Pelodiscus sinensis: one gene and its partners. The protein of the gene in region 1 purifies or fractionates together with the protein of each later gene. This does not show direct contact. Links are inferred from orthologs where the notes say so. Each region holds a gene or a part of one and is shown on either strand. Other genes may lie near its edges.

Region 1 (6,870 bases):
GAATAAAACCTTGGGTTAGGCTAGGTATTATAACTCAAAAAATAGCAAACAAACTAAAGTTAAACCTCATAGAAATGTTAAGGAAGTGCAGTGATTTCTGATTTTGTGTTTACGGAACTGTTGAGGGGGAGAAGAAAGCTACCAATGTTTGACATCTTTGTTTCTGGATATAGAGAAAGAAACAGCATTGAAGATTTGTAACACCTTCATTTTGGGGAATAGGTGGGAAGAAAAAAATTTGGGTGTTGTTTTCCAGAAACTTGATTACAGGCAGTCCCCGGGTTATGTACAAGATAGGGACTGTAGGTTTGTTCTTAAGTTGAATCTGAATGTAAGTCGGAACTGGCATCCAGATTCAGCCGCTGCTGAAACTGATCAGTTTCAACAGCGGCTGAATCTGGACACCAGTTCTGACTTACATACAGATTCAGCTTAAGAACCCCAGGCATCCCCAAGTCAGCTACTGCTGAAACTGATCAGCAGCTGATTCCAGGAAGCCCGGGGCAGAGCAGCTTCCTGTAGTCAGCCGCTGGTCAGTTTCAGCAGCGGCTAACTTGGGGACGCCTGGGGCAGAGCAGCTCGGGTGCTGCTGGGTTGGTCCAGTAGCGCGGCCGCTCCTTGGCGCTACTGGACGAACCCAGCAGCACCCCAGCTGCTCTGCCCCAGGCGTCCTGATTCAGCCACTGCTGAAACTGATCAGCAGCGGCTGAATCAGGACTCCTGGGGCAGAGCAGCTGGGGTGCTGCTGGATTGGTCCAGTAGCGCCAAGGAGCAGTGCTGCGGGACCAACCGGCAGCGCCCCACCTGCTCTACCACAGGCCCCGGGCTTTGCTCCACGTCTCCCTGGTCTGCTGGGGGGGGGGGGGCACTAGCTGCGTCCCCCTTCCCCACCCCAGCAGACCAGGGAGACGCGGAGCAAAGCGGCGGAGGACCCGGGCCGGACCACGGCGCTTCCAGATCAGGGCCGCAGTCCGGCCCCGGGTCCTCCGCCGCTTTGCTCAGCGTCTCCCTGGTCTGCAGACCAGGGAGACGGGGAGCAAAGCGGCGGAGGACCTGGGGCCGGACCTGCGGCCGCTTCCAGCTGATCTGGAAGCGGCCGCGGGTCCGGCCCCGGGTGCTCCGCCGCTTTGCTCCCCGTCTCCCTGGTCTGCTGGCTCCCCCAGCAGACCAGGGAGACGGGGAGCAGCTTTTCTCGCCCCGGAGGAGGCGGGCAGCGGGACCAGGCGTCCCGCCGCTCCAGTCCTCCGGGGCGAGAAAATCCCCATTCGTAACTGCGGAGTCGGATCCGCGTAACTCGGGGACTGCCTGTACTAGCATATCCCAAAAACAAATATATGAAAGAGATTAGTTTTATTATTAGTATCCATTTCCAAGATGAGACACACTTACACTGAAATAAGAATGCCCATGCCCATGTCGGTGATGGAAGTTATACCAGTATACCTGTATTAGCGTAAGTGATCAACCTTTTTCATATAGATGACCCCTAAGACAGAAGATGGTGTGTGTGAAATGTACAGTGTCTAAAATAAGTATTCAGAATAAGACAACATCTAGAATTAAGGCAACAAAATCATATTGCAAAACTCTGCAAAGTAAGAATTGTGATCTTGGTCAAACAACACGCTGTCACTCATTGAAATAATTGTCAGCAATTCATGACAACTTGTGGTTATTGTAATTAATCATTTCATACATGGTATTTATCCCAACAGAATACTCAAAATCAATAGCACCAAAATACAGAATCTTATTTTTCGGTGAATTGAAAAAGAAATTCTCAACAGATAGTGAAATGGGCTGCTTTTGCATCAAAAAGGCCTTTCAAATTCCACCAGGGGGTAGTATTACACATACACGGATGCTAGTAACTAATTGTGATGTTATACATCTTTTCCTGCACGTTTTTCTAGTTTGAGAATAAAATTGACTGGATCTAGTTTAATTCTATGAGTTATTTTTTATTCAAGTCCTGAACCTGCTAAGGAATCCTTAACCATTGTGAATTTGAGGCAGACAAAGTTCCAATAATAGACTTGTGGGTATCAGCAAGGATATATTTCCCCAATCATACTGTAAACTCAATTAGTGATCATTTGTAATAAAACTGTGCTGAAAGGATGATATACATGAAATGACTCTATCAGAATGGCTCCGGAGAGGTGCAGCCAATCTTCATCTAAATTCTTGAGGAAGGAGGAGAGCCTGAGCCTGGGGAAATAAGGTAGCCAAGATACTAAGTCTAAATTAATTTATATTTTGAGGGTGGGGCTTACTTAACTCCACCAAAGATGGAAGAGGGGCTACAGTAGGCATCTTGAATCTGAGGCAGAGAGAGCAGAGGTGTTGGATGAAGCAATCCTGAAAGAACAACATGAGAAGCAGCCATACCTAGGGAGAAGGTTTAGGTTATTAGCTAAATTTCAAAATGAAAGGCCACTTCTAAACAAAGTTGAAACTTTTTGTTCATTTCATTTGTTTCAAAATGTCAAAAACTTTTCTTTCAGAAATGTTGAAATCAAACACGTTACCATTTCCAGTTGTTTGATTTTGGAGCAGTGAAGTCGGGATGGGGGTGGCAATGGAGGTTTGGAGGAGCAGTCCGGACAGCCCCGGGCCTGCTGTTGGGGAGGGGAGCCCGGTCCCAGCTAAGGCTGCTGCCAGCACAAGGCCAAAGGGGCCCGAAGCATCTGAGCCCCAGGAGGGTGGAGATCATGGCCTGGAGCTGAAGGCAGGGTGACATGAGTGATATGCTGATGCCACTCTGTCATCCCACAGGAAAAAAAATTATATAGAGAGAGATGACATTTTCAAAGCTAAAAAATCACTTTGTTTCATAAACAAATTCCAGCAAAATCATGCTAACTTGATTTGTGAGAGCAATTATAGATTGTTCACTTTGTGTAGGGATGGAGAACCTTTTTTCTAACATACCCACAGGAAAAAAAATCATGGGCCATACACAGCCCATTGTGGGGGTCAGAGGGAGGCTCAAGGCTCAGGGCTTCCCACTGCAGTACGATGAGATTGCTCTCACAGCTCCAGCTCTATGCGGATGGGGGTGCAGTGGCTAAGGGGGGCAGAAATGAGGGGGTCAGGTGTGGGAAAGGATGAGGATGGGGTGCAAGTTCTGGGATGGAGTGCAGATGAGGTGTTTGGGGTTCAAGAGGGAGATCGGGGCTGGGGGCAAGAGGTTTAGAATGTGGGAGTGGGCTCAAGATTAGGGCAAAGGGTTGGGGTACAGAGTCTGGTAAGGCAATAGGTTGTAGGAATGGGGTTCTTTAAGCAGAGGATTTGGGGTGAGGATCAGAGGTCTGGGAAGGAGGTAGAGCATGGAAGGTGGTTCTGACTTAGGGCAGAATTCTTGGGATAGAGACACAGAGGAGTTGGGGTGCGGGAAGGGTTTCTGACATGGGACTGGGGGTTCAGGGTGTTGGCTCCAGCTGGGTGGCACTGACAGAAAGCAGTTCCTAATTAGCAGTGCAGCGGGGCAACTCACATGTTAAAACAAACACAAAAAAACCCCTAAGTCTGTAGTCTTCCAGGTTGTGGAGTAAATCAGTTAAATTTGAACCCTAAAGACTCCACCCTAGAGAAAACAAAAGAACCTCAATATTATTATTATTATTATTATTGTGGAGTCATTGCTGTGATTTGAGGAGGTCTGACACATGATTTGGGATTCGTTGCAGCTGGCAATACTGTGGTCTCTCTACGCTCCCGGCCACGTGTGCCCAGCTGCCCCTGAGCAGAGACAGGGATGTCAGGCGTGGGACTGCGCGAGGCCGGGCGTTCCATGGCGCGCGCCCTTCCGGCCCCGCCCCCTGGGTTACGCATATTGAGCCCGGCCGGACCTTCCCTGACTTTACCCTGTTGCTAATGGCAACAATCCTGAGCAACGGGAACTCGGCGCGCGATTACCGAGCCTGGGTCCCAGCACTCAGGCCCGGTGTTATCTCGCTCCGGGCTCGCTCTCGCTCTCGGCGTTGGATTAGTCGTGCCCTCCTCGCACCCCGCAAGTGTTGTTGTGGGAGGCAAAATGGCGGCGGCGGTGGTGGCCGGGGCTGCCCTGCTGGGCAAGGGGCTGGACATCAGCCTGGCGGCGCTGCAGCGGCACGACCCCTACATCAGCAGCATCGTGGACGTGGCCAGCCAGGTGGCGCTCTACACCTTCGGGCACCGCGCCAACGAGTGGGTGCGTGACACCCCCCCCCGGGCCGGCAGCGGGGAGACCCCCCCCCTCCGCGCGCGCACGCATACAGGTGGCGGGAGGGAACCTAGAGATTCCCCCCCCCCCCATCTCCATGGACAAGTGGGGGAGGCCGGGCAGGGCAAACAGGAGGGAGATCTCCCTCCCCCGACGCGGAGAGAGCTTGAGGCGGGGAGCCCCCCCCCCAACACACACACGTGGGACGTGCGGGAATTGGAGGGTCTGGGGAAGGGGTGGTGGCTGAAAGTATTGGGGAGGGGGGTGTATCTATTTTCTTTAACTTATAAAATATGCTCAGTTATGAAGTAGGGATGTAAAACCCCATTTAAGTAGTTAACTGATTTAAAGGGGTGGGCAGCTGCTCCAGCCCCCACCAATTCAGCGGTTTAAACCATTCACCTTCCTAATAGGAAGGCCCACAAATCCACTGTGAAAACCCAAAGCAGGGAACAGTAAAAAGTTTCCACAATTTAAGAAAGGGCGTTGGTTCTCTCTGGCACAAATTCTGCAACTAAGCACCAAACAAAAGTTGTTGAGAGGATAGGTGGGAGAAAGAAACGGTGGCCCTTCATTTCCACCCCTTCCATGCTGGCCAATGAACTTGAAATTCATAGTGGTGTCTATTCAGCAGCATCTGCTAAAAGCAAGTTCTTGCCCTTACCAGGATATAGTGTAAATGTACATTGTTCATGAGTACAATACAGTATTATATGGAAACTGTATTGTCACTGAAATGTTCTATGGCAGTGTTTCTCAACTTTTTTTTATAAAATACAATTTTTTTTTAAAAAAAGGGGTAAGTACACCCAGTACGTACGGTTTTCAGACACTTTTTTTTTTTTAACCATTGCAACGCATTTATTTAAACAACTTATTTGTAGTCAGGCGGGTGATGACATTTTTGGGTGGTAAAAAGTACAAAAATAATAAAATGTTGTAAAACTTAACAAATTCAGTTTTCTCCAAATTTCAGTTGTTGACATACCTCCCCCTTGACTTCTCTTGAGTATCCCTAAGGGTACTCATACTGCTGGTTGAGAAACATAGCTCTATGGGGTGGTGTGCGTGTATACTAAGGATGTGAATGGGTAACCAATTAATTGTTGCCCATAGGCTGCAGGTGAGGAGCTGCTCAAGGAGGTGGGGGGGGGGGGAATAGTGGGGTAGAGGGCTGCCCCAGCAGGGCTGGGAGCTGGTGGTGGTCGCAGTCCCAGAGCTGGGAGCTCACGTAGTCAGTTAACCAATTAAATATTAGGTTAGATTTTATATCCCTAGTGTGTATAGTTTTTGGAAGAACACCATATAATTTCAAAATTACCAGTGATGTGGTACTAATGCTCAAGAAGCAGCAAATATAACACATTTTCCTAAGATATAGAAGCCCTGATCTAGTAAAGGATTTAAATATGTGCTTAGCATGGTGAAGTTTGTGGGACTTCTCATGCAATTAAAGTTAAGCCCATGCTTAAGATCTTGTCTACATATGGGATGCTTGTTTCCGGCCAATAGGAGCTGAGGACTGGGCTGGAGGTAGGGTAATCACACACAACCTCCCGGTTGCTCCAAAGCAGAGAGCCACACAAAGCAGGCCTGTGCTTAAAACAGTGGCTGCTGTGTGCTTGAGGGTCCTGGTAGAGTGGTCCACAGGCTGGATCCAGCCCACAAGATGTATCTTGCCCACCCCTCATGTAGACTGTGGGTGAGCAAAAATTTTTGATAGAGGGGCCACTCCAAGATTTTGGTAAGTGGTCATGGGCTGCACTTTTCTATGGAGGAGGTCCAGGTTTGAAATAGAGATTGGGTGCAGAAGGGAGCTCAGAGTAGGGAACTGGGGTGCCGAAAAGGGTTTGGGGTCTGAGTGACTGTTGGGGTGAAGGAGAGAATAGTGATCTGTGGAAGAGGATGGGGTGAAGGGTTAGGGAGATGGTATGGGTTCGGGAGAAGATTCTGACCTGGGGGATGGCTGTAGGAGCAGGTGCAGGTCTGGAAGGGGGTGAAGTGGCAGGCTCTGGTCAGAAGGTGCATACCTAAGCAGCTTCTGGCCAGCAACACACTCAAACAGGCTTCCCAGCCTGCCAGTAGCCCCCAACTGGCTGTTCCATGTGGTTCTGTGTGCTGCGGGGAGGTGGGAGTGAGAGCGAGGGCTTCACACACTGACTCCACCACCAGCAAAATCTCTCAGCTCCTATTGGCTAGAAACCAGCCAGTTGGAGCGGAGAGATTTTGCTGGGGCAGGTGCAGGTTCCAAGGCCTCCCTGCTCCAGAGGATTTGGAAAATCTAAAGATTTTCCATCCATGAGTGGAGTGAGTTTTGTCTTGTGCACCAATATTGAGGTCATGTGTGCTTGTTCAGGTGTGTGTCACCATGACATCCACCAGTTACTCACAGATATCTTAGATATATATTCAAAGGGGTAGCCGAGTTAGTCTGTAACAGGGAAAACTTAAAAAACAACAAATAGTCTAGCAGCATCTTAAAAACTAACAAAACATATAGATGGTATCATGAGCTTTTGGGACACAACACACTCCTGTCATCTGAAGAAGTGGGTTGTGTCCATGAAAGCTCGTGATATCATCTACATGTTTTGATAGTCTTTAGTAGCACCTTAAACTCTTTAGCTGTGTCTACATTGGTGCGATCTTGCACCAAAGTGGCC
Region 2 (7,438 bases), on another chromosome or scaffold:
CTCTCCTCTCCTCTCCTCTCCCCTTCCCCTCTCCTATTTATTTGGAGTTTTCATATCCCCAATTCATAACTCTGGTCATCTGAAGAAGTGGGCTGTGCCCACAAAAGCTCATGATCCCATCTACATATTTCATTAGTCTATAAAGTGCTACCAGTGTTTTTAACTTTCTCCTGTTAATCAAACTTTGTTTTAAATAAAGTAAAATGTTATGTCCAACACAACAGGTTTCAATGTTTTCGTTATGGGAGAGGTGAGGAACCCTTTTTGAGCCTGGGGTTACTGACCTCCCCTCCAAAAAATCTGGGCTTCCCATAGACCAGATTTACTGTTCTGGAGTTAGTGGATTTTATGGACCTCCTTAGGCTCTGGGATAGGGACAAGAATGAGGAGTACAGTGCGTGAGACAGGGCTGCCAGCGAGTGAGGTAGGAATGGGGTGCAGGATCTGGGTGGGAACAAGGGTGCAGAAGCAGGCTGGGAGTAGGGTGTGTGGCCAGGAGGAAGGAGCAGGGACAAGGGAGGGGATTGGAGCAAGTTGGGGGTTCTAGATCTTGGGGAGGGGTTCTAGATCTTGGGATGGGGAAGTGATGGGATTGGGGTGGGGGGTCTGGACATGAGGAAGAACCTTACCTGGCTTTGTGCCCCCTTGCAACAATGGCTGCCGCCATGCGATCCAGGGATAGCCCCAAGGCACACAGCCTGGGGCCAGCCTCTGGGGCCAATGGGCACAGGCTGCCCCAGAGGTGCTGCAGCCCGGGGCAGGTCCTGGAGGCACCACAGACAGAGGCCGCCCCAGAGGCACTGCTACCATGGCCATGTGGCTTGGGGCCAGCCCCAGAGGCACTGCAGCCACGTGGCCCCAGGCCACTCCAGAGGTGCCACAGTCTGGGACTGGCCCCAGAGGTGCTACTACCACGGCCATTGTGCCAGCCCTGGAGATGCCGCTACTGTGGCCAGGCGGTCGGGGGCCGGCCCTGGAGGTGCTGCCATGGCCGGGTGTCTCCAGCCTCTGGGGATAGCTCCAGACCACATGGCCATGGTAGTGGTGCCTCCGGGGCCGGCCCTGTTACGGAGCCTCAGCCCCAGGCTCTGTCCAGTGCTTCCACTTTGAAATGAACAAGAGCCCCCGCGGGGGACGTTTCAAAGGCGGAACGTGGCAGTTCTCGACTAATCAAATAGTCAATGGAAATCCTATTGACACTTTGATTAGTTAATTAATCGAAATTTAGCATCCCTAGTACATACCAGGTCAGCGCCCAGACTACTGTACTAGGCAACATAGTATAGGAAGGAGATGGGCAGCCCTCAGTGGAAAAAGAACAGGATAACTATTTAGAAAAGCTAGACATACACAAATCCAGGGGGCTGGATTTAATGCATCCATGGGTGCTGAGGAAGTTGGCAGATGTTTCCAAAGGCTCTGCAAGGACTTGTGGCGATCAAAGGAGGTCCCGGGTGCTTGGAAAAAGGCATATGTGGTGCCCATCTTTTAAAAAGGGAAGAAGGACAATCCAGGGAACTACAGACTGCCCGGTCAGCCTCATGTCAATCCCTGGAAAAATCATGGAAGGGATTCTCAAAGAATCCATGTTGAAGCACTTGGAAGAGGGGAAAGTGACCGGGAATAGTCAGCATGGATTCACCAAGACCAAGTCATACCTGACCAATCTGATTGCATTCTATGACAAGGTACCTGGCTCTATGGACAGGGGGAAGTCAGTGGATGTGATAGACCTCGACTTTAGCAAAGCTTTTAAAACAGTCTCCCACAATATTCTTGCCAGCAAGTTAAGGAAGTCTGGATTGGATAAATGGACTGTAAGGTGGAGAGAATGCTGACTTGATGTCTGGCTGGAAGTCGGTTTCTAGCAGAGTGCCCCAAGGATCCATTCTAGGGCTGGTTTTGTTCAACATCTTTATTAATAACCTGGATGAGGGGATGGATCACACCGTCAGCAAGTTTGCAGATGACCCTAAGCTAAGGGGAGAGGTAGATACATTGGAGGGCTGGGACAGGGTCCAGAGTGACCGAGACAAAGTGAAGGATTTGGTCAAAAGAAATCTGATGAGGTTCAACAAGGACAAGTGCGAAGTCCTGCACTTGGGACGGAAGAATCCCAAGCATAGTTACAGGCTGGGGACCGACTGGCTAAGTAGCAGTTCGGCAGAAAAGGACCTGGGGATTGCAGTGGATGAGAAGCTGGATATGAGTCAATAGTGTACCCTTATAGCCAAGAAGGCTAATGGCATATTAGGCTGCATTAGGAGGAGCATTGCCAGCAGATCTAGACAAGTGATTATTCCCCTTTATTCAGCACTGGTGAGGCCACAACTGGAGTATTGCATCTAGTTCTGGGCCCCCCATTACATAAAGGATGTGGACACATTGGGGAGAGTCCAGCGGAGAGCAACCAATATAAGTAGGGGGGCTACGAGGCGAGGCTGAGGGTTCTGGGCTTGTTTAGTCTGCAGAAGCAGAGAGTGAGGGGGGATTTGGTAGCCTTCGGCTCCCTGAAGGGGGATTCTAAAGGGGATGGAGAGAGGCTGTTCTCAGTGGGGGCAGATGGCAGAACAAGGAGCAATGGGCTCAAGTTGCAGTGGGAGAGGTCTAGGTTGGATATTAGGAAAAACTATTTCCCTAGGAGGGTGGAGAAGCGCTGGGATGGGTTCCCTAGGGAGGGGGTGGAATCTCCATCCCTAGAGGTTGTCCCAGCTTGACAGAGCCCTGGCTGGGATGATTTAGTTGGGGTTGGTCCTGCTTTGGGCAAGGGACTGGGCTTGATTTTTCTCTTTCAACCCTGTGAGTTGATGATTCAGAGCCAGGAGAGGCAGGAAGCTGACTTAGCACCCCTGCTGCACCGCTGACCGGGAGCCGCTCAAGGTAAGCCCCTCCTGCCCCAGCCCAATACCCCAAAGCCAGAGCCCCCTCTTACTCTCCACAGTTGAGTTGCGGGCATCAATAATTTTCTTCGACTGGGTCATGAGAAAAAAAGTTTGAAAATCACTGAACTAGTTGCTCCCTGACCAGCGAAATCAAGACAAGATGGGACTGCAGCGGAGAAATTCTCATGGTTAAGTCAAGGTAGAAACCAGGGAGGAAACCCTGGGACTTCTCTCCCTAGTTCAGCCAAATCCTGTGCGTATGTCTGCAGTGCACTAAGAGCTGTGGCTGGCCCGGGGCAGCAGACTCAGGGTTTTGTGCTGTAGGGCTGTTGCACAGCAATGTGGACAGTTGGGTTTGGGTTGGAGCCCGGCTTTTGAGTCCCCGGGGGGTGGGGAGGGTACCAGAGTGCAGACTCCACTTGAAGCCTGTGGGGCTACGCTGCAATCTTATGGCCCCAGCCTGAGTCAGATGGCCTAGGTCCCCATGTGCCCTAGATGCATGAGTGGCCCTTCAGAAGCAAGGAAAGGACCCAACATTCTCTTTGACATGGTACCAGAATTTCCCCAAGGGGCTTAGGTGCTGCCGCTGCTGGTCTTGAAAGACCCCTGAGCTGGATGGGCCAAGGCCCGTCCAGGCAGGTGCTGCTTTCGCAGTGCAAGGCCCAGTGCAGAGATTTGGATTAACACGAGTGAGCTGCAGATCACGTCTCCACGGGGGCAGTACAGCAGCTGCCTCCAGGTGGGAGCCTGGATGCAACATCTCTCCCAGGAGCAGTGCGGTAGGAGCCCCAGCACGGCACCTGCACAGGAGGGAAACGAGGCAAGAGCTTGTCCCCCCGACTCCCAATAGCTTCACCCCGCAACAATACCGTCAACCCCTCTTCTCCCAAGGTCGTCTGCACCCGTAACAGCCCCCTACCCTGCCCTATGTAATGGCACCCCCAGAACAGCCCCCCATTAATGGGACCCCCACCCCATAACAGTCCCTCACCCACCATATCAATACCCCTGCCCCGTAGCAACAGCCCCCGTCTGACAACACCCCACCCCATAACAATACCCCTACCCCATAGCAACAGCCCCCGTCTGACAACACCCCACCCCAAACAATACCCCCTGCCCCGTAGCAACAGCCCCCGTCTGACAACACCCCACCCCAAACAATACCCCCTGCCCCGTAGCAACAGCCCCCCGTCTGACAACACCCCACTCCATAGCAACAGCCCCCGTCTGACAACACCCCACCCCATAGCAACAGCCCCCGTCTGACAACACCCCACCCCAAACAATACCCCCTGCCCCGTAGCAACAGCCCCCCGTCTGACAACACCCCACTCCATAGCAACAGCCCCCGTCTGACAACACCCCACTCCATAGCAACAGCCCCCGTCTGACAACACCCCACCCCAAACAATACCCCCTGCCCCATAGCAACAGCCCGCCCAGCACCTGCGGGCCGCGCCCCTCCCACATGGCGCTCGGGGGGGGGGGGGTCTCGCCCCCGGCCCTGGCTCGGCCGGAACGCGGCTGCCCGGGGCTGGTTTCCGCGGGGGCCGGCGGCGGCCGGACCGGAAGCGGAAGTGGAGTCGGCGGGCCGGGCTCGGGAGCGGGGCGGCAGAGCGGGAAGCGGGCCCATGGCCTCCGCCAGCATCGACATCGAGGACGCGACCCAGCACCTGCGGGACATCCTCAAGCTGGACCGGCCGGCGGGTGAGGGCGCGCCCGGCCCCGCCCCGCCGCGCCCCCTCCCTCCCCGCCTCCGTGCGCGCGCGCCGGGGGCGGGGCTGCCGCAGGGGCCGAGGCGGGAGCTCGCTCCCCTCTGGGAGACGGGAGCGCGCCGGGACCGCCCCCCCCCGGGCTCGGGCTCGGCCTCGTGCGGGGAGACCCTGGATCTTCCGCCTAGCCAGCCCCGCGTGTCCCCCCCAGTCCTGCCCGGCCCCCCCCCAACACCGTCCAGTTCTGCCAGCCCCCCCCCCCGCCACTGTCCACTCCTGACAGGCCCCCTCCCAGCCCCCCCCCCCGCCACCGTCCAGTTCTGCCAGCCCCCCCCCCCCGCCACTGTCCACTCCTGACAGGCCCCCCCCCACCCTCCCAGCCCCCCTCCGCCACCGTCCAGTTCTGCCAGCCCCCCCCCCCGCCACTGTCCACTCCTGACAGGCCCCCCCCACCCTCCCAGCCCCCCTCCGCCACCGTCCAGTTCTGCCAGCCCCCCCCCCGCCACTGTCCACTCCTGACAGCCCCCCCCCACCCTCCCAGCCCCCCCCCCCGCCACCGTCCAGTTCTGCCAGCCCCCCCCCCCGCCACTGTCCACTCCTGACAGCCCCCCCCCCACCCTCCCAGCCCCCCCCCGCCACCGTCCAGTCCTGCCAGGCCCGTTCCCATCGCGGGCAGGTTACATTTTCAGACACCTTTGTGCTTCTCCCCACATCACCACCGGGGGGGGGGGGGTGCTCCCTTTGAACACCCCATTCAGCGACCTCATTATCCTGCCGTCAAATCTCTCCTTGACTCTCAGCAGGGAACTTGGTGACTGCAAGGCTGCTGGAGTGCAGAGAGCCTTGCTTGTCTCATGGTTTTCCTTGTACCTCCTCCCCCTCCCCTCCCCCGTCTGTATTATACCGCTGTTCTCTCTCATTTTATATGGCATTTGTAAGCTCCTCGGGGCGGGGGTTGTTTCGTCGTTCTGTGCCTACCACAGTGAGGGATCCTGATGCATGCAGTGAAGGCTTCTAGGTGCTACAGTAATACAAATGAGATCACAATAATTAATAAGATCTTAACTGTACATCTGCACCTGCTGCACCTCCAAAGCCCCAGCCATTTCCAGCTAAACTCTGCCTAGCCATGCTACGGCAGCCACACGCCTCTCTGGGAAACAGTTCCAACATCTGGGTAGTACTCGGTATCGTGGCGTCTGGGACAGGAGCACCCTTGGATTCCTGGCCTGCGCTGCTCCACTCCTGGGCTGGGCACCGTGTGCTTAGACTCTGACTCCATCCCAGCATATTGGGTGCTGTCTTGATCCATACAGAGCCAGGGTTTCTGTGGGCCTTGGCGCCAGACTGAAATCAAGGTTGCCCTCAGTCTGCCTCCCTGCAGCCCCGGGACCCCTGTTCACCTGCTGGGGTGGGCCGCAGCGAGGCGAAGCGTGTGTGTGTGTTGCGCTTGCCATGGGGTGTGGGAGGCCCAGTGAAGCTTCCTTTGTGCAGCTGAGACGCTCACGTCGGAGCCCTGTCGGAGCGGAGCTCCTCGCGGTCCCAATGTGGCTCTTTGATAGCTTTGCGTTGTGCAGGTGCAGATGTGGCTGCCCATGCGAGTGACTCTGCATCCTGTGAATGTTAAAATCAGCGAGGGACGGTTCCCAAACGCCTGATCCGGCGTAATCTCATCAGGTTTCTAGCCTCTCCAGCTACGTTCTCTCCTCAGTCTCTGGTTGGGTATGTAAGTGAAGAGCGCTGGTTTGGCAAAGGGTTGTATCGGCTTCTGTTTTCTAATAGTCAGCTGCCAGCTAGGGCCTTCGAGCGACTGCGGGCGTCGTCTGATGTGCTCATCTAATTCCCGCACCATTTTAGGAAGATGGTAGTAGGCACGTGGGGGTGGGCTGACTGCACAGTCAACCCTGCTGGATTCGCTCTCTGTACAACGCTTCTGTTTAGTGGTGTAGAGCTGACCATTAGTGTCCCTGACGTGCAAAAGCTTCCGATTGTCCAAGTAATCTGGAAACAACTGCCCTCCTGGTTTGTACAGGGAGGCCTTCTGTTTCAGCTTTCCTGGTATGAGCCAAAGGATGCTTATTAATCTCCACCTGTGGGCTGTAGGAGTAGGGATGGTAACTATCGGTTAATTGAATAGTCAAGTAACCTCATGAATTCTTATCAGCTACTGGACTATTCTGTAGTATCCGGGGGCGGGGCTGACAGCCAGTGCACTCTGGTCCCACTCCTGAAGAGCCCCCTGCCACTCTATACTGCTGCCTCTGTATCAGAGGCAGCGGCGCGGGGTGCCAGGCGGGAGCTGGTCCTCAAGGGAAGCCAGTCTAAAAACCAGCTCCCCTCACGGACCAGCTGCCTGTCGCCCCGAGCTGCTGCCTCTGACACAGAGGCAGCAGCACAGGATGGCACTGGCCCCTGTCCAGGAGGGAGCTGAGCTCAGCACAAGCCGGAACTGAATGGGTCTGCTGCCCACCTGGCTCCTAGTACACTTTAAATGCAGAGCCGCAGCAGGCGTAGGTCCCAGACCCGTTGCAAGGGAGGAATGAGCCGGCTGCTGGCCAGCCTGCTAAAAAATTTACTGGCGGGGGGTGGGGGATGCGTGTAGTCTATAGTTAATCAGTTAATCAACAGCACTATTACATCCCTATTTCTTTGCTGTAGTAAGAGGGCAGGTGGGGGTTGTCGGGAGAGGAAGGGTGAGCAAGGGACTATCGGTAGAGCCTTGTATGGATTCAAAATTTGTATCCACGTCTGTATCCTCAAAGGTGAGCCGTGGATAGTTGCAGATTTGCAGGGCTCTGACTGTAGAGGTCAGATGAAGGTTGGCTTGAGCTTCTTAACGGA
Region 3 (7,213 bases), on another chromosome or scaffold:
TTTCATTCAAGAAAGGTAAACAACTACTTACAATACTTCAGTTTTCTTATCTGAGACAGCAAATCTGACAAGTCTTAGAGACTCCCTTCTTAATGTTTTAATTGTGCTAACACCTTGAGATAAATTCAAAAAAGTTTTCCTCACTAAAACGCCTGCCTGTTGCCCTCAGAAAATAAGTACATACAAAACCAATTCAAAATTTAGTAAAAAAACATCAAATGGTCTGGTAGCATTTTATAGATTAACAAAACATGTAGATGGTATTATGAGCTTTCGTGGGCACAAACCACGTCTTCAGATGACCGGGGTGGAGAAGTGATGACTGAAGAAGTGGACTGTGCCCATGAAAGCTCATACCACCATCTACATGTTTTGTTAGTCTATAAAGTGCTACCACAGACCATTTCTTGGTGTTTTTTTCCCCCTGTACAGACTAACTCAGCTACCCCCTGAAGCTTCAAAATTTAGTGACAATATTGGGAAAGTATTATAATGGTTTGATATTTTGTTTGCTAAACACAATGACTTGTACTCTTCATAGAAAATTACTGAAGTGCAACTACAAGATAAGTTACTGTGAAGTAACCCTAGAACTGTTACTAACAAGTCTACCTCCCTCACAAGGAAGGGGGAAAGGATTTACAGGCTTGACTTACAGTATCACCACTACAAAGAACTGCACTGTATAAAATAAATGCAAAACAAAAGGTGGCATTAGCTGATCACTGAACTCTTATAAAGAAGTTGTTTACCTGATACCTTGTCCATACCAAGGTTAAAAAAAAATCACCTATATAATTCAAATACTAACATTCCTTAAAGGGACATTATCTAGTCACTTTCAAGAGCAATTCTAAGTAGTTTTAAGTACAACAACTTGCTTCTGAGTCTGACAATGTCTATTGTTTTACAACCAAGTTGTCTTTTTTTTAAATCAGCCCTCAGTTCCTTTACTTGTATTTCACAGTAAAGACAAAGCAAGTGACTATGGAAGGGAAACCGTTAAAATTAGTATGTGAAGTACTGCTAACTGCACAAAACCATGTTTAAATACCTCCTCCAATATCTGTCAAGTCATTTTACATGGCACACCTTTTGAGGTGAAATATTTTGACACAGATCATTTTCAAGTACCTTTAATTTACAGGGACACTTATACATCCAAAAATCATTTTAATGAAATGCTTTAAGTATTAGAATGTTTAAGAAGTCAAGAGAAACACTATTTGGATTTAGACATTTCCCTTCTATGTTACTACTAAAAAAAAAATTGAAACATATAGCTAGTCCAGAAGCAGCAAACATATAAACAGGGAGTTACAGCAAGAAGTAAATTCAATTTTGAATTTTTTAAGGCTCTGTTTAATAACCTACTTTCATGCTATTTTACCTGACAACATGCCTTTGCACTCCTTAACACTCACAGGAAAAACATTAGATTATGTTATAGAGTAAAACAATATTTAATAAATCTGAACAAACCTAAAACTTCAGGGACAGCTTAAAAAATTAGTGCTCTTTACTAGCAAACCTCAACATTCCCCCTCCCCCTTTTCTAAGCATTTCCTTTCTTCATTTTGACCACGTATGCAGGACTCTGGAAGCCGCTGCCACTAACTATATTATTTCCACTCCCCTTTCTGCAGTGAACATCCTCCTTTTCCCTGGGAGCTTTGATTTTTGCCTAAAGATAGCACATAACGCTACAAGAAAAAACAAGACTGGGAGGGGACACTTTTTAAGAGATCCCAGGAATCACTCTTTCGTTGTTTATAAAAACTACTCCCTTGCATCTTAGCAAAGACCTCATTAGTAGGCGGAGGTGAGCTGCCCCAGAACCGACCTACATCTCCTCTAACCATAAAAGCCCTCACTGAAGCTCCAATCAGTTCAGAAATGTCAGCCATAGTCTCATCCTTCTACACACCAGAAAAAGGTCTCGTTTTCCGAACCAAACAATGGAGCGCAGCAGCTTAAGCATTTATTGCTTCCCTCCCACTTCGCCATGGGGCTCAGCCCGGGACTGACAGCGCTTCACCACCAAGCTTTGGTGTGAGTCCGATGCAGTTTCTGCAGTGCTTAGGAAAGGGGGCGATTCCGAAAGGCGGGCGCCCGGCCTAACAGCAAACGTCCATAAACCCTAGAAATGTATCTGCGCAACATCAGCGGGCACCATCCGTCGGGCAAACAAAAGACACCCCCGGCCGCTCGGGCCCCAGACCCCGCGGGGGCGGTGCTCCCCTGACGCCCAACCCGCCCCCCGGGCAGGGCCCCTAAAAGATACAACAGCGCCGCCCCCCCCCGCCCTCAAGGTCAGGCTGCCAGATACAAGCCTCCCCCCCACATGACCCCCGCACACACCGCAGCGCCGCCCCCCGCAGCAGCGATCGCCCGCGCCCTGGGTAACACGCCCCTCCGGGGCAGCGAACACACCGGTCTCCATGCGGGGGGGGTGAGACCCGCCAGACCCCTCCCCGCACTGCGCCCCCCGCCGCCTCCGGGCTCGAGTGGCCGCCCGCAAGGCCAGGCCCAGCCCCTAGTGCGGGGCAAGGCCGCAGGCCTCACCAAAGAAGCGGCCGCCCAGGCCCGCGCGGCCCCATGCCCTGTCCCCAAAGCCGCTCCTCGGGAGCCTGCTCCCCGCCGCCGGCTGGGCTGCCCGCTCTCCCAGCGCTAAGGAACCGCTCACTTGCCCGCTTGGTGCCTTGTTATGGCGATTCGACGCTCCAAGATGGCGGCTTCCTTCTTCCTCCCGTGCGCCCTCCCCCTCCCGGCCGGGCCGCGGCCAGGCCCCGCCCCCCGTTACCTCAGCGCTGCTGCGAGCCGCCGGGACGCCTCGCGCCGTCACCCCGCCCCCGCCGTCACCTGCACTCAGCCGCTCCCGCGAGGAGCCGCAGCGCCGGCCGGCCATGCCCGCCTGGTCAGGCGGAAGGGAGGGGGCTGCCGCAGGGCTCGACCCGCCTCCGCTCAGCCGCGGCCGTTTCCCTGCCGCGCTCTTCGCCGCCCGCTTCTTCTACAGGGGCCCCCAGCACCGCCTCCTCCCTCCGCGTCACAGAAGCTGCCGCGCGCTTCGCGGCCTCCCGCCCTCCGCTTCCCCCCGGCTGCGCGCGCGGCTCCCTCGTGGGCTCCGTCTAACTGAGGCGCAGCTCGCGCCGTGGCCCCGGCTCCCGTGAGCGGCTGAACGCCCGCCTCAGGCCGGGACCGTGCAGAGCCAGGCGCTGCCCGCGGCCCTGCGACGCTCACAGCAAAGTCGGTCCCGAGAGAGACTCGAGCCTCGTCTAGGGACCCTGGGTGAGACGGTGCCGACTGGACACGCAGGGGTTGTTCCCCTCCCCCGGGAGGAAAGTGTCAAAATTAGCGACTGCCGGGAATAACTTTCTGAACAACCCTTCGACTTAGTAATTTACGGAGTCTCAGCCAGCACGCGAGGAGGAGCTGACAGCGTGCTCTTTCTGTTCTTCATTACAAACGAACAGTTGTGGCGGCAAATAGGTTTTACAAATGATATTTCAAGTTTTGCTGCCCTCATAATATAACACTGTATTAAATCTCTGCTGGAAAAAATATTGAACATCAATGGCAAAAAATAATATGGAAACAGTTGAAGGTGAATGAAAAAAAGTTTTAAATCAGATTATTTTAAAAAGAAAATTGAGTTTTTTAACAACACACATCTGCATAATAGAAAATGGTAATTTAGTAGACAAAAGCTTGAATATATTCCCGAAGTAATTATCCTTTATACTCAAATTTGTATGTCCATCTCTCTCATATCTGTATTTATTCTTACATGGGTTAGCACTTAGCTGTTCTGCTCAAGGGAAACATTTTCTCCATGCCTTCCTTTTATGCTCTCTCACTTAACCAAATAGTATTTTGTTAATTATTTAGCTGCACTGTTCCTTTTAAACCATTATTTACTAAGATACCCTCGCATCATTAATAAAGTACCAAACAATTTAACAGTCAAACGATTTTTAATTTTGCATGACAGGGCCCCAGAAGAAGCTTCTGAAGACAGCAGGGAATACAGGAAAAGCAAGTTTGTAAGTACAGTCAGGGCTTAATTTAGAATCAGGTGACCTAGGTAACTTCCAGGGGGGCCGGGTGCTTTTTTTTGTTGTTAGTTGCAAAAGGGAAAATAGAATGCTAAACACAGGTACTCTGTATGTGGATTCATTTTTTTTACTAACCTCCTAGAATGTTCTGGATCTTTTGTAGAATCTTGTTTTAACCTTCCAGACTTTCTGATAACTGCATTTTCCTCAAACCTCCTAGAAGTTGTCAGACATGCCCTTATGGGTGTATATAAGGGGCAGGGCATTGCCAGTCAACCTTATATGACCAATAAAGCACACGTGCCACCCATGCTCCGAAGTTGTGAAGTGGGGTACAAATGCAAAAAAAAAAAGTTTAACGATTGGAAAGGGGCACTAAAGACATCCCTTGTTTGGGGTGCCATTTCGTCAAAGACTGGCACTGCGTACTTCTGTGGTCACCAACCCGTCAATCGCAATTGACTGGTCAATTGGGAGGGCTCAACCAGTTGATCACAAGGCGTTCAGGGGGGCCCCCCATTTCACTCCACCCCCAAGAAGCCCCACTACCTTCCTCTAGTAACAATGGAGGTAGTTCCGGCTTCCTGTGGGGTGGAAGGAAGTCCAGCAGCTGTGCGCCACTTCAGGATTTCAGGAAGTGCGCTGGCTGCTCCCTCTCCCCCAAACAGCCGGCGTGGCACCACAACCCAGGTCTGTGGTGTGCCAAGGACTTGCTGGGGGGAAATCCCCAGAGGAGGTGCATGCCGGGGCTTCCCTCCTCTTTGAGGGGGAGGAGTCCCCAGAGGAGGCACGCGCCGGAGCTTTCCTCCTCTGTAGGAGTGGGGAGGAGTCCTGGGAGGAGGCGCCTGCTGGAGCTTCCCTCCTCTTCTGGGGGGTGGGGGGTAGGAGTCCATTCCCAGAGGAGGTGCACCGGGCAGGGGGAGAGGGGATAGGAGTCCCAGGGGGAGGCATGTGTCGCAGACTCCCTGCCCCCACTGGCACTCTGCCTCAGCACCCACTAGCACCTTTCCCCAGTACCATGTCCCCTGCTCCCACCAGCACAGTTGGAGCCATATTAGTGAGGCTTGGGGAGGGTTTTGGAGGAATTTTTTTTTTGCATCTCACTTGTGGCCCCAACTGACTTTTCTGTGGGTCACTGATCCCTGACTCAAAACAGGTTCCCTGCCCTTCTCATAAATAAAGACAATGCTGAAACTTTTTTGTGTTTGACATAATATTTTATTTAAAAATGAAGCCTGGCCAACAACCCTCCAATTGTGGCCAAGCCCCCATTTGGCCACAGCATCATAACACTCCTGCACCTCCACCCCACCCCAGACCCTAGATCTGAGCCTATCATATACTGGAGCTCCCTGTCCTGAGCCTCTCACATCCCCAAACTCCTGCACCCCCACATCCTCAGTCTTCCGCCACGACACTTCTGCACCATCCACACACTGCAAATCTGTGTCCTGGTGCCATCATACTCCCAACCTCCCTGCCCTGAGCCCCTCACATACCTCAACCCAAACTCCTGTACCCTCACATCCACAAGCCTATGGCTAGCTCAGTACCCCAACCATCCACCTGACCCAAAAACTTCCCAACCTGGAGCCAGCATCCCCATCTCCACCTCCTCCTGCATATAAATTACCTCCCAGAGCTTGCACGTCTCACCCCTTCCCACACCCAAATCCCTCATTCCCACCCTAGAGCCCACACATCCTGTCAACCCAGTGAGGGTACAGCTAGACTGCCGGAGTTTTTCTGGGACTCCAGAGGTATCCCGGAAAAAACTCTTCCGCATCCGGGGACGCATTTGTTCTTCCACTTTTTTTAGTGGAAGAGCAACCATGCTCTTTCGGTAACCCCTTTATTCCTCATTCCACAAGGATATTTGGCCCAATCTAGATAGCAAAATGTTGGAAAAACCTCTTCATACAGAAGAATTTAAAAAAACAAAGCAGCAGTGTAGCCATACCCTGAGTGTGTATAAGGGCTGGGGATAGCAAGTGATGGAGAGGAGAACAGAGAGGGCGGGGCTTTAAGGAAGGGGTGGGGGTCTTGGGAGAAGGATGGGGCGGTAGATCTTGGCTTGTTCTGACATTTAAAAAGTGATCTTGGGGGGTAAAAAGGTTGGAGACCACTGGTTTACTGTATCTGAAATTTTCACCCATAGAGTTTTGTTAAGGGTGAACCTCCAGCATAAGTTCAGTAGGTGCTGTTGGACCTTGCAGTTCTATACCAGTGATGTGCTGGAGAAAACTTTTAGGATCTCTTTCTATTATTCTGACACCAAAGGGCAAGGAGAATTGATTTTCTTGCCTTGGAGGGCATTACCCTCTCTCTGGATATTGTTAACATATTCCCACACTAGGTATAATTTATTAGTGCAGTAGGGATGTTAAAATGTGTTTATTTAAGTAAAATGTAACAGGTGAAAGTTTCAACAGTTACTTGTGGGGGGAGAGGTAGCTTCCGCCTCCCCCCACACTGCTGCCAAGAGGGTTTTTCTAGCACAAGAAGGGGCAGTGTAGACAGCTCCTTGTGGTGCAAGAGCCTCTCCTGCAAAATTGGTGGCTTATTAGGTATGCAAATGAGGCTCGGGGATATTCCACACAGCCTCATTTGCATATTTCTCACGCAAGAAGCCGCGAGTGTAGACATAGCCCTGGAGGAAGTAAATGAAGTTCTTTTGAGGAAGTAAATGAAGATGTAATGATAATCTCTGGTGTATGCCAGAGGTACAGCCACCTGGGATCTTCCTATATAGGCTCCCGTTCCTAGCAGATAAAAAAGAGGAACGGACTGGTCAGACCATTAATCCAACTCTGTTCACCAGAACTACATTTCCCTCTCTGGCCACCATCACTCTAATTTCCAAAACTGTAATGGAGTCTTTTTCTAAATGTATAGGTTTTCTAAGTTGATGTGGAGCCCAAATACTGGGATTTAGAATAAACAGACTTTTTGTTCTTATTGAAATAAAGTTGCTGTTTCAGTTATCTTTTAAATGTGCAGTTCATGATATCATGATATCTCAATTAGAATTCTTACAATGTGAAGAGCTTATTAATATTTACAGGTGTTACAAGTCACAGTCTATACTCTCAAAGGCAAAATGGAAAAACTGACTAAATAGCACTTGGGAGTTTCCATTTGTAATGTATATGGTATCA

Evidence for each region. Proteins that work in one complex are often made in the same cells at the same time.
Region 2: the proteins of DCP1B (region 1) and EDC4 purify together in Homo sapiens (affinity purification with mass spectrometry; 3 studies listed by BioGRID and IntAct, with this or other methods). This does not show direct contact. The link is inferred for Pelodiscus sinensis from reciprocal best matches to the Homo sapiens genes DCP1B and EDC4.
Region 3: the proteins of DCP1B (region 1) and DDX6 purify together in Homo sapiens (affinity purification with mass spectrometry; 6 studies listed by BioGRID and IntAct, counting the BioPlex papers as one, with this or other methods). This does not show direct contact. The link is inferred for Pelodiscus sinensis from reciprocal best matches to the Homo sapiens genes DCP1B and DDX6.

The regions. Positions count from the first base shown.
Region 1 is NC_134711.1:109,170,482-109,177,351, reverse strand, and holds the start of DCP1B (mRNA-decapping enzyme 1B), read left to right. Parts: upstream 1-3,864; 5' UTR 3,865-4,039; coding exon 4,040-4,195; intron 4,196-6,870. UniProt on the Homo sapiens protein: May play a role in the degradation of mRNAs, both in normal mRNA turnover and in nonsense-mediated mRNA decay. May remove the 7-methyl guanine cap structure from mRNA molecules, yielding a 5'-phosphorylated mRNA fragment and 7m-GDP.
Region 2 is NC_134722.1:46,923,253-46,930,690, forward strand, and holds the start of EDC4 (enhancer of mRNA-decapping protein 4), read left to right. Parts: upstream 1-4,436; 5' UTR 4,437-4,516; coding exon 4,517-4,592; intron 4,593-7,438. UniProt on the Homo sapiens protein: In the process of mRNA degradation, seems to play a role in mRNA decapping. Component of a complex containing DCP2 and DCP1A which functions in decapping of ARE-containing mRNAs. Promotes complex formation between DCP1A and DCP2.
Region 3 is NC_134736.1:597,362-604,574, reverse strand, and holds the start of DDX6 (putative ATP-dependent RNA helicase DDX6), read right to left. Parts: upstream 3,003-7,213; 5' UTR 2,863-3,002; exon of another isoform or gene 2,804-2,862; intron 2,790-2,803; exon of another isoform or gene 2,566-2,789; intron 2,074-2,565; exon of another isoform or gene 1,928-2,073; intron 1-1,927.